3 linked regions of the Coturnix japonica genome follow. The main gene of each other region encodes a partner of the protein of the gene in region 3 in a complex. Links are inferred from orthologs where the notes say so. Each region holds a gene or a part of one and is shown on either strand. Other genes may lie near its edges. The genes, in order: SLC7A9, SLC7A13 and SLC3A1.

The links.
Region 1: the proteins of SLC3A1 (region 3) and SLC7A9 are in contact, whole or in part, in a cryo-EM structure (PDB 6LID), measured with the Homo sapiens proteins. The link is inferred for Coturnix japonica from reciprocal best matches to the Homo sapiens genes SLC3A1 and SLC7A9. Residues at the interface, in NP_000332.2 of Homo sapiens: Pro64, Tyr65, Ala66, Gly67, Met68, Pro69, Lys70, Leu73, Phe74, Phe76, Ser77, Tyr82, Pro85, Arg86, Phe90, Thr93, Val97, Leu100, Ile101, Ala103, Thr104, Ile107, Ile108, Ser111, Cys114, His201, Asp202, Thr373, Glu374, Pro375; in NP_001119807.1 of Homo sapiens: Cys137, Phe140, Tyr141, Val142, Gly143, Cys144, Pro147, Ile149, Val150, Cys153, Leu154, Ala156, Ala157, Leu160, Phe161, Thr164, Leu168, Thr279, Thr281, Asp295, Arg296, Tyr299, Tyr343, Val346, Arg347, Lys467, Thr470, Met471, His472, Gln474.
Region 2: the proteins of SLC3A1 (region 3) and SLC7A13 are in contact, whole or in part, in a cryo-EM structure (PDB 8WK6), measured with the Homo sapiens proteins. The link is inferred for Coturnix japonica from reciprocal best matches to the Homo sapiens genes SLC3A1 and SLC7A13. Residues at the interface, in NP_000332.2 of Homo sapiens: Pro64, Tyr65, Ala66, Gly67, Met68, Pro69, Lys70, Leu73, Phe76, Ser77, Arg81, Tyr82, Pro85, Arg86, Leu89, Phe90, Thr93, Ser96, Val97, Leu100, Ile101, Thr104, Ile107, Ile108, Ser111, Cys114, Leu115, Glu194, Asn195, Asp202; in NP_620172.2 of Homo sapiens: Ile120, Phe123, Phe124, Pro125, Ser126, Cys127, Leu132, Pro133, Cys136, Leu137, Leu139, Ala140, Met141, Trp143, Ile147, Arg151, Lys187, Thr265, Arg267, Asp281, Arg282, Glu450, Cys454, Tyr455, Gln457, Leu458, Leu459, Phe460, Asn461, Ile462.

The regions. Positions count from the first base shown.
Region 1 is NC_029526.1:8,598,899-8,602,648, forward strand, and holds the start of SLC7A9 (B(0,+)-type amino acid transporter 1), read right to left. Parts: upstream 2,125-3,750; 5' UTR 2,037-2,124; intron 1,210-2,036; 5' UTR 1,202-1,209; coding exon 1,097-1,201; intron 1-1,096. UniProt on the Homo sapiens protein: Associates with SLC3A1 to form a functional transporter complex that mediates the electrogenic exchange between cationic amino acids and neutral amino acids, with a stoichiometry of 1:1.
Region 2 is NC_029517.1:111,076,003-111,079,652, reverse strand, and holds part of SLC7A13 (solute carrier family 7 member 13), read left to right. Parts: intron 1-2,026; coding exon 2,027-2,158; intron 2,159-3,650. UniProt on the Homo sapiens protein: Associates with SLC3A1/rBAT to form a functional heterodimeric complex that transports anionic and neutral amino acids across the apical plasma membrane of renal epithelium.
Region 3 is NC_029518.1:22,701,515-22,705,264, forward strand, and holds the start of SLC3A1 (neutral and basic amino acid transport protein rBAT), read left to right. Parts: upstream 1-874; 5' UTR 875-979; coding exon 980-1,376; intron 1,377-2,047; coding exon 2,048-2,227; intron 2,228-2,480; coding exon 2,481-2,635; intron 2,636-3,184; coding exon 3,185-3,310; intron 3,311-3,750. UniProt on the Homo sapiens protein: Acts as a chaperone that facilitates biogenesis and trafficking of functional transporter heteromers to the plasma membrane.

The sequences.
Region 1 (3,750 bases), on a different chromosome or scaffold from region 3:
TTTTGGTGAAGTAATTTCTAGTAACTACTTTTCAGTTTAATACGATACTAACTGACGTCAGTGATTTGCTGTAGCTTTTGACATGAAGTTTCAACTAATTAGTAAACTGTGGATTTTTTTTTCTTCCAAATACGTACATGGCCTGTGGCATGCCAGCTTGCATGTTTGTTTCCATAACCCATCCTTTGAATTATGTGGGTCTCAATATTAACGTTGTACGTGTGAGCAATTCTCTTTATTTAACTTAAGCGTCACATTTTGGTGAACACTTGAATTCTGAAGTTTTGTAGCTTCTAAGATGTGCCTTCTCGGAGGGATTCTACCCTTTTTCTTTAAGCAGTTGCTCTGCTCTCCTTGCTCCAGAAATGATTTTAATATTGATAAGTAATGAAAAGATTACATTCTTCAGATTTTGTAGCAATTGCCACATTAGATGACTCTAAAACTTGAGGCTCAAAGGTCATTGGCATGGGCATCTTAAATGTTCCTTATTAAGTTATAGCTAGCCTAATAACTTCGGTATTTTGCCAGTCCAGGTTCTTAGCACCTAAATGTATCTATGCAGGGTATCATTTTCCAGGTTGCTTAAACTGAAAGATAAATTACACTTCGCCGTGGGAGTCTTGTCAGAGGTAAATGAAGTGGCATATCCTTTCTGTAAAAGTATCAGTCATTTTCCGGAGAAGAAAAATTACTGTTTGTTTTTCTATACATTTAGCTGTTTTATGGACATAAACACTAACAGATTTGCAGTAGTGAGCTGAACCAACCCTGTTCAGCCTCTGAGAAGCTGGCGTAGGAAGAATTAGTGAAGTCCATAATGTTATGCTGAGCTGAGCAACTCTGAAGTGTAAAATAGTGAGAAGTAATTTAAAGACTTGAAAATTATATATACTTTCTTTTGTGTTTATATCAGAGCTATATACATAGCAGTTAATAAGTTCATAAAATGTAATTCAGCCACACCATGAAGATACTGCACATAAGAGCAAATTCAACTTTTATATGATGATACATCATCACATGTACATTCTTAATGCCTCCCTGTGCCGGCCCTTCACATGCGCATGTTAAGGGAGTGGCTGTAGGCATTTACCTGTTTTTTTAGGTTTGTTGCTTGGGGTTCCTGACTCTGAATGGATTGTCCATCCTCCTTTCTGTTGTCCTGGTCTTTTCTTTTCCTCAAGCTTCCTTCACCCATTTGATTTACTTGTTGAAATAATAAATAAATAAAGGGGAAAAAAATAAATAAATAAAGGGGAAAAAAAACAGTTAAAAATCTTTATTAAATTAGGCTTTTTCCTGCTTTCTTGGAGACACAAGCATTTTTGACCAGGTGTCCTTTCCTGTAAGTGTCTAAATAGCAGCTCTTTGTTTCAGAAAGTGTTGCTGTTCTTCCCTGTGTTGAACTGGGGTAAATGTCTTCTTGTGAACACTATATTCTGTTCAGGATAAGACTGTGAACAATTTGACTTCAAAAATGTTAATTTTAGATTTCTGAATGTAGTATTTTCTTGAAAGTTTTGTTTGTTTCACAAAGTGTTGGAATAAAATCCAGCCTGAAGTAGTGATGGAAGTGGAGGTTAAAACAGATTAGTCCTGATTCCCACAGTTAATGCAGTCAATCCCCTCTCTCCTTAGACTCTCCATCTGTAACTGTTAGAATCTGAACATTGATGATTGTTTTGCAGCTAAACAGACAATGCAGGCGTGCTTCGTATTTGGGCAATTCAGCTAGTATCCAGCAATTCTTGGCATTTTTTTTTTTAGCCTTTTAAATTGATGGAATGTCCATCTCAGTACTGCTGGTCTTCAGAAATGTTTCTGCTATATAGAGACCTGGTTTATGATTTTAAGATTTTAAAAATCAACGTATGGTCCAACTTAAGATTCAAGAAATAATGGAAAATTGCCCATGTAAGGAATGCAGGGCTTGGGTCACTGAATTCTATTACAGCTTTGTGCCCAACTTCTCTCTTTCAAGTTTTTTGTCTAGAGTATGTTGTTATCTTCTAGTAAAACATGCTGTCACTTACCTTATTTGTATTTCTTTGATGTAATTCAGGCTCCAGGGATCTCTTATAGTGTTTCTCTTTCCTCCCGTTAGATTTACCAGCCAGTTAGAGAGCAACACAGTTCCATGTCCGAAACAAGAATACGCAGAAGCAACAGCAGCTTAAGTACAGAGGTTATAAAAGGTAATCATTAAACCTGTTCTCAGCCAAGAAGTTTTGAGATGGGAACCACAGGTAAACCAATAGTCCAATTAGTTTATCTTTAAAACAAAAAGTTTTTTTTTCCCATTTGTTCAGAATGTTTGTCTATTACCTAACTATTTTATTATATAGTGAGAGGAAGTCGTAATTTAAGTGCATTTTAATTTCATGTCAAGTTGTTTGCGGTTCAGAAACTGTGTAAAGATAAACTTGAAGTAATTGTAGTGGTGTGGATATGTTAAAAGTATCTGTTTAGATGTAAAGTGCATCCCATAAAGGCAGCTCGTTTCATCTCGAGGAGATGGAGAAGTGTGAGCAGAAATCTCTCGTTTGGTTTTTCATTAACCTGAAGACAGCTGAGTGGGCAGCTTGTGTTTCTTTCATCTGCGGTTTCAATTTTTCATTGGAAGGAAACTCTGGAGATAGAGTCCAACCCATCTGCTAAAGCCAGTTCCCCAGGGCAGGTCACACAGGAAAGAATCCTAGTGCACTTTTTAGTATCTTCAGAGGAGATTCTACAACCTCTCTGGGCAGCCTCTTCCAGTACTGTGTAACCCTCATGGTGAAGAGGTTTATCTTCATGTTTGTATGGAACTGTGTTCCAGTTTGTTCCTATTGCCACTTGTCTTGCTGCTAGGCACTGCTAAAAAGAACCTGGGCCCCATCCACTTGACTACTGTCTTCTAAATATTTATAAGCATTAAGAAGATCATCTCTCAATGTCCTCCATGCTGAATGGGCTCAGGTCTTTCAGCCTTCCCTCATAAGGGAGTTACTTCAGGCCCCAGTCATTTTTTGTGACTTTTTTGACTCCCTAGTATTTCCCTGCCTTTCTTAAATAGAGGAGCCCAGAACTGGACACAGTACCCCAGATGTGGCCTCACCAGAGCAGAGATGAAGGTGACCTCCATCACTTTGCTAGCCATTCTCTTTTGAATGTATTCGAGGATCCCATTGGCAGCCTTAGCCATGAGGGCACACTGCTGGGTCCTAGCCAATCTGTTGTGCACCAAGGGTACTCAGGCCCTTATCTGCAGAGTTCCTCTCCAACAGTTCAGCTCCTAAACTGTACTGTTGTGTGTGGTTATTCCTCTCTAGGTGTAGGATGCTGCACTTACCTTGATGAGCCTCAGCGAGTTCCTCTGCCCAGCTGCCCAGCCTGTCCAGGTTGTGCTGAATGGAAGCAGAGCCTTCTGGCATGTCAGCCACTCCTCATGGCTTCATATTATCAGCAAACTTACTTGGGGTGTACTCTGTCCCTTCATCTAGTTCACTGATGAGGATGAGATTGCAAAACAATATCAGTACTGAAATCAAAGCTATATTTTGCAGGTAACAATTTTACTGTCTCCTCTTTATTTTGGTAAGAATTAAAAGCAGCATTAAACTTCAAGAAAGATTTTTTTTTTTTCCTTGTAACCAACTTGTTTAGAAATTTCCATCTGAACAGCAGAGTTGCATGCTATTTTTTTGTTTGTTTTACCAAAGAAGAATAAAGAATATTAAAGTCAGAGATCAACAATTAACTCCTTTT
Region 2 (3,650 bases), on a different chromosome or scaffold from region 3:
TGGTATATTTCTTCTGATAAAACTTATATCCAATTTTAAACATGCAAAATCTTGTGGCGTGTTCATTTCCTTGTCCTGTTCTATATCTAGTGATAGGTAATAAAGAGCAGTTTTTCATGGAAACTACAAGGAGATAATGCTCACAGTTACATACTGTGCAACAAGTTGAGTGAACAGTGTTTTATAATATCATTAGATTTATGAGTTAAGTTGTAAGCAAATGGATAATGCTGTTATATGTTTAATCTTACTCATCTGCTGACCTCTACCACATGTAGAAACATTAAACGTTAAATAAACTCGATGTGTGAAACGTGTAACACAAAGTTCAGTGGTGAGAACAGTGTGAAAATTGGGTTAATATTTAAAAACCTGATAGTTACTATTAAAATCCCATTAATTCTGCATTTAGAATATGCTCTTATTAAAAAGGTGGTAAAAAGCAGAAAATATAGGTTTTGAAAGCTTAGGGTTTTCTTAAAGGCAAGAATTCAGATTTGTAAACCCAAGGAAATACAAAATTGTTCACAAAGTACTATTTGCTGATCAGTTACCACAAGTAAAAATTGAAATACACAAGGGATACATGCAATCCACTGGGTAACACAGCTGTTCAGACAGATGCTATATGCTTCTATGCTATAGACCTCTCCTGAACTGAGTTTCCAGTTCTTCAACAATAACTTTCATTCCTGTGAGCCTTAGCTAAAGGATCCCATGCCAGCTGGATGTTGGGACTGTAGCTAGCGATGAAACAAATGCAAAGACAAATTTAAATCAGCTATTTTGGTGATTGCCTCCTTTTGTGCTCAAAATTATGAAGTGTATTTCTTCCATTTTAAATAAATCCCCAATTCTCTAGTAAACTGTATCTGCATTTCTCTGTTGTGCTCATTCTGTCTCTCTGCAGTCTGTGCACTGCACCCCAGAATAGGGCAGGCTCAAAGCTGATGTTGGAGGCAGAGATAGTATTTGGGGAGAAAAATGATTCACCCTCCCCCGTCAGCCTATATCAATACTGATACAGACTGAGTAGTTTTAAGCTAAGATATCGGGTTTAGCACTAAACACTTTTCCTCCACCAGTTTTGTCATGGAACTGATAATGGCAGAATCCAGCTGGGAACTGCCCTTTTTGAAAGCCACTCCATTACTGCTCCTCTGTCAATACTCTTCCATTATATCTTCTGTACCTTCTGATGTAAGAACAAAGAGAAATGTTTTGGGTGGAAACAGGAAAATACACTCAGTATGATGATTGGAGGGCTGGAGCACTTCCCTATGAGGACAAACCGAGAGAGTATAAACTGGAAGACAGTGGATTTAAACTAGATATTAGGAAGGAATTCTTTACTGTGAGGGTAACGACACTGGAAGAGGTTGTCCAGCGAGGTTGTTGTGGATGCCCCTCTCTGGAGGCGGTCAAGAACAGGCTGGATGGGGCTTTGGGCAACTTGATCTAATGGGAAGTGTCCCTGCCCATAGCAGGGGGTTGGAACTACATGATCTTAAAGGTCCCTTCCAATCCAAACCATTCTATGATTTGTATGAAAATTTTGAATCAGGGCTTACAAAGTGATGAAAGAATAAATAAACTGACTTTACAGCCTCACATTCAATATTTAGATTCAAAAGTATGTCTATTTGGAAATGCATTACCAAGTTAATATTCTAATGTACAGCCATATATTTGTTTAATCACATCAGAGACAATTAGTACTTTGTCATATTTTTATCAGTCTGTCAGGTCTCTCTTTTCCCAAGACACCTGATAACTAAAAAAAAGACAAAGGAGAAAAAAAAAAAAAAAAAGTTCTAAATACTTGATTTAGGACTCTGATGATAAACTACTCAACAAATACTGCAGGAACACACAAGCAGCATAGTTTAGGAACAATGATTAGGGGTTGGGGTGAGATTTCTGTGTCAGTCATGTCAACCTCTGTGGAGATTCACCACTGAAACCACGCTTACAGAAGTTGAACTGCTTGCTTTATTGTTATTATTTAATTAATTGTGTTTTTCAGAGGAGATGAAAAACCCTAGCAGAAACATCCCTTTAACTGTGATGACAGCTGTTCCCGCAGTAATTGTGTTTTACTTACTGGTAAACATCTCATATCTGACTGTCCTCACACCAAAGGAAATTGTCTCCTCAGGTATGAGTTTGATATTTTTGTGAGAAAGGTGAGATCTGTTAGCATACCTGTTTGATGTCAATGCACTGGATTACTTGTGCTCACTTAACTCCACAATTGGGAAGTCTGAGTTTTAGTCTAAGTTTTAAACGAGATTTGTGGTTTAAATTTTCTGCATGATATAGGTTGGACTGAATACAGAGTATATAGTAAGTGTCAAAATTTGGCTTATACCTGTACAGTTAAAAAAGAAATCAGAAGTGCATTAAAACATGGAAACCAAATGATGATTGTGCCCTTGTTTGATATAGGTAGGGATTTAGTTTTCCAGTTGTTTTAATCCCCTCTCCTCCTTTCTTTCCTGTGTCACAGTGTCTAAGGCTAAAGTCCTTACTGTTTAGGATGGAAATAAATAATATTTTCAAGTTACATGTAATAATAAATAATATAAAAAAGGCAATAGGAAAATATAGCCATTTGGGGCTGAAGACGGGTTATTCATGATAAGTATTTTCATTTCTTGGAAGACCCTGTACAAAAGTCCAGTTTCTGTAAAGCTTTTCTCAGATGCCACGCCAATAAGCTGTGCATAAAAAGGCCCAAGAGGAGCTGTATTTCTCTTTGATTGTCCAAGCAGCACCTTTTAAGATCCCAGCCTAATGAGACTGAACTGTCAGACCTTGCCTTGTCCAGGAGTGACAAAAAAAAAATCAATTTTTTTTATAAAATTATTATTATTATTTTTTCTTTTTCCTCTGTGAAAACAGCTCAATAACATAAATGATGGTGTAGCTGTCACTCAGCAGCCCCATAGTGTTGTCTGCCCATGATCAGGCTATCTGCTGGGAGAGACACATTTACAGATCCATTCTGTCAGGAAAGCAGCAGTAGATAACAGAATATCAGCGAGCAGGTGCTTGGCTGGCACAAGCAGTTCCTGAAATGATGCTGGAGCTGTGCTTATTTACGTCAGCTGAGGAGATGGCCTTAAAATTATATCTCTCATTTCAGACACTGCTATACACTGTGGCAGTTCTTGATTGCTCACTACATTGTTATCTTTTCCCCTAATCTGAGGAGTTTTATGCAGTGCAAATCACTGCAAGACCTATATTCCTCACGACACTCAGTTAAAGGCCTGCTAAGAATCAGTCCTCAATATAATGCAGGCCATCACCAATTTCTGAGAAATATGGAAAATCATTTGTCCAGCAATAATCTTTCACATTTCCTAGCTCTACCCAAAGCAAAATCAGATTAATAACATGCTTTATGACCTGTCTTTTAGCATACATACAATTGTGTTTCTTCTTACAGCAGGCCATGTCACCTCTGTGGCCAGGCAGATTCATGCCTCCATTATTTTCTTTACTCAGACTGCCCTGCTCACATGTCTACATTTGTTATTCATGATGCCGAGATGCAGCTGTAATGCTTACAGGGTGCTCAGTCCATTGCTTCCTGTTGGCCACTGTGGCTTCACCCAGGAGCTTTTGTGGTAGTCAGCAGTCCT
Region 3 (3,750 bases):
GCTGGTAAATTGAAAATGAAATGGTGTCCAAGGCAACACTACGTGAACATGATTCAGCCTGCAGCTCCGTGTGTGGTAAGGCAAGAGGTCGAGAGGGAATGTCCTCAAGTTGCTCCAGGGGAGGTTGAGATCGGATATGAGGAAAAACTTATCTAAAAGAGTGGTCAGGACTGGCACCGGCTGCCCAGGGAGGGGGTGGAGCCACTGACCCTGGAGGTGTTCAAGATACCTGTAGGTGTGATAGTAGGGGACGTGATTTGGTGGGGAAGTATTGATGATGGGAGATTTTAGATGCCTTTACCAACCTTAGTGATTCAGAGATTCTCAGTTATGTGGCTATGTTGTAGTGTACGAGGGAGCTACTTGTGCCTGTGCAGAGCTGGTCATGCCTGGCCTGGCAGAGCTCTTGGGTGCAGCAACTTGTAAGGTGCTGCTTTTTGAAGTGTGTGTGCCTTATGGGTGCTGTTGCTGCTGAGGTGCTCACCCTGGGCTGTGAGAAACCAAGCTCATCAAGCTTTGGATTTTTACTTCCTATTGAATTTGTGCTGTTGGAGCTGCCCACGCCTTGTTCTCTGTCAGTCTTTGCATTATTCATTAATGCTGAGATTGCGTTCAGGAAGAGAGACCATGATCAGTTTACGAAGTTGCACATTGTGGAAGAGAAATTTATGATGTTGAAGAGAGCAGCAGTAAATGTAGCTTTGCAGTTAGTCCCAGGAACAGGCCTGCCACTGTGGGAAACTGCTTTCTTGCAGCGTTATCTCACTGAAGATGCCTGTTATGCAGAAGAGCCGGAGCACTTTGCCCTTTCTGTCTCCTGTGAACTTTGACCAGTTGGTCAAGATTGTTTATAAAGCCAGATGCTAATTGCGCTGCTTCTCATTCCACTGAACAAAGGTATGCTGGCTCCCTGTACTGAGTGTCCCTAGGAGGAGAGGCAAAAAGTGAAACAGTCGACAAGGAGGCGAAGAGCTTACCGATGGAGCTGAGTGAGAAGGGAGGTGTGGAGAACAACGGGTTTGTTCAAAATGAGGCTTTTGATGACAGGGAGACCGACACCAGCAGCCAAGATGAAATACCAAAAACGTGTGCCGTTGATGTGAGCCCAGCAGCCGTGGCAGAGCAAGCATTGCAGCCCTATGCAGGAATGCCGAAGGAGGTCCTGCTGAAGTTCTCCAGCCAAGCCCGGTACAGGGTCACCAGGGAGATTCTCTTCTGGCTCATCATCGCTGCTGCTGTCCTGCTCGTGTCTGCCACGATTGCCATCATTGCTTTGTCCCCAAAGTGCCTCGATTGGTGGCAAGATGGTCCTATTTACCAGGTCTACCCTCGTTCTTTTAGGGACAGCAACATGGATGGGAATGGTGATCTGAAAGGTATGTAACAAAGCGGGGCAGCTGACAAAGTGGGGGTGAAGCAAAGTGTTTCTTCTTGTTTTCTTTGTGATCTGGGTGTTTCTGAGATCTTACTAAGATCATGTACCTGATACTGATCAGGTATTGGTTAGCTGTGCTTCTAAACGGGATGTCTGAGCCCAATAGCGTATGAAAAATTTCTAGACAAAAAGCAGCAGCTGTAGCAAATTGTAGGAGACTTTTCCTAACAGAAGACAAACCTGAGGTCTTTGCATTGTGACTGTACTTCCTTTGGGTGGTCAGAGGGTCCATTGACTTTGAAACCAGAAAGTAACGATGGTGCTGTATTTTAATAAAAATACAGGTGTTTGTTTTCAGAAGTGAATGTTAAATGTATTGCATGAAATGGCGAGTATTATTCTGCAGAATAGAAGTTGTCTTCTGTCAGTCTTTTAAATGATTATTATTTTCCTTTTTCCCTGTAGTGGTGACTTTGAATGGTTTCCATTCTGTGGCCTCATGTTGCTCGTGAAGAAATGGCAGGGTTGCCCCGCTATCTGAGATAGGTGAAAACTGGGAGTGGTTACATAGCAAAGAGATCTGTGTTCTGTCTTTGAAAGCCCACATCAAACTTAATGTGACCAAACACGTTTGTCTGTTGTAATCAGATATTGCCCTTTTTCTTTTAATAGGAATCCAAGAAAAGCTGGACCACATCACACACTTAAATATAAAAACCATCTGGATCACATCTTTCTACAAGTCCCCCTTAAAAGATTCTGGCTATGGAGCTGAAGACTTCTATGATATTGATCCCATGTTTGGATCAATGCGTGATTTTGAGGATCTTCTTGCATCCATACACGATCGAGGTAAGCTCTGATCAAAACAGCCCTATTACAAAGATGTTTGCTGTTGTGGTACAGGTGTGCCTTGTAGTTTCTGGAGAAAGCAGAAAGAGAATTATAAGATTAAGGGGGAGCATAGACTTCCTTCCTGTGGTTGTGTCTTTGGTTGGTAGCACATGTGCCTTAAGCCAAATCCTTGCCCAAATGGTTCCCCTTATGCCTGTAAGATGTGATCCTTATCACAAAAGGCTTGATTTAAAGTATGTGCGTGTTTTAGGGTTGAAGGTAATAATGGATTTCATACCAAACCACACCAGTGACAAACACCAATGGTTTCAGCTTAGTCGCAATCGCACTGGGAAGTACACGGATTACTACATCTGGCAGGACTGCGAGCAGGCAGGGGCAGCCATCACTGCTCCCAACAACTGGGTGAGTGTGGGCAGGGATGGGCTTGTAAATCCCTTGTAAATCACCTGTAATTCACATGCTGGATTGTGGGTTGCCGGGTAACAACAGCACCTGGAACACAACTGTCCTGTGGATGTGGGGCCATGGCCTCCAGCACTGGGAGCAGGGGTTGGGTGCTGCAATGTAAGGAAGACATATCAGAGAACATCCAAGGGAGGGCTGTGAAGATGGTCAAAGTCTGCAGGGCAAAGTGTGTGAGGAGCAGCTGAGGTCCTAATTCTAAAAGAAAATGGTCTTGGAAAACTGTTTTCCATTGTATTGTAATTGGCAGCAAAAGTCTGCTTAGAAGAATGAAACAGTATTGAACATGAAATACGTGTGGCAAAAGCGTGACTGAAAGGAGGAGCAGCTAACAGGAGTAGGAAATGAGAAACAAAACATTAAAACCAACCCAATTTGTTGCACTGATGAGGCATTTTGTGCCTTGTTATATGCTTGTAATGCCTCACAAATTATACACGTAGCTAAACTATAAGTTCTGATTGCTTTTCTTCCCCTTTACTTGAGCAGGTGAGTGTCTATGGGAATTCCAGCTGGCAGTACGACGATGTGAGGAAACAGTGCTATTTTCATCAGTTTGGGAAAGAACAGCCGGACTTAAATTTCCGCAACCCTGCTGTTCAACAGGAAATCCATGTAAGTGTCTGATCTGCTGCAGCACCAATAGCACAAATTTACAGCTTAATTGAAAGTTAACTTTAAGATTACAGTACATTTAAATGGTTGAAACAGAATAGTGTGCAGACAAAGGTTAAAATGTTTGTAAGCAAAACTCAAGGTTCGTCTTATGATGGTTCCGTGACGGAGGACAACGCCTGATGGAAGGACTGATGTGGTGCTGCAGAGCAGCTGAATGCCCAAGCTGAGGGAAGCTTTAATCTCTGTTGATACAAGGAGCTGTTTATTAGCCAGCCCTATGGGGGTAACAGTTTGTTTTAGCAGAGGTGTTTGCGTGTTCATGGCAGGGAGGCAATGCTGATCTGAAATGCAAGGAATCCCATTGCTTGTAGATAAGGAAGAATTCGTGAGTTTTGCTACTGAAGCTAAAGTAGCAAATAGATTCAGCGTTTCCTTTG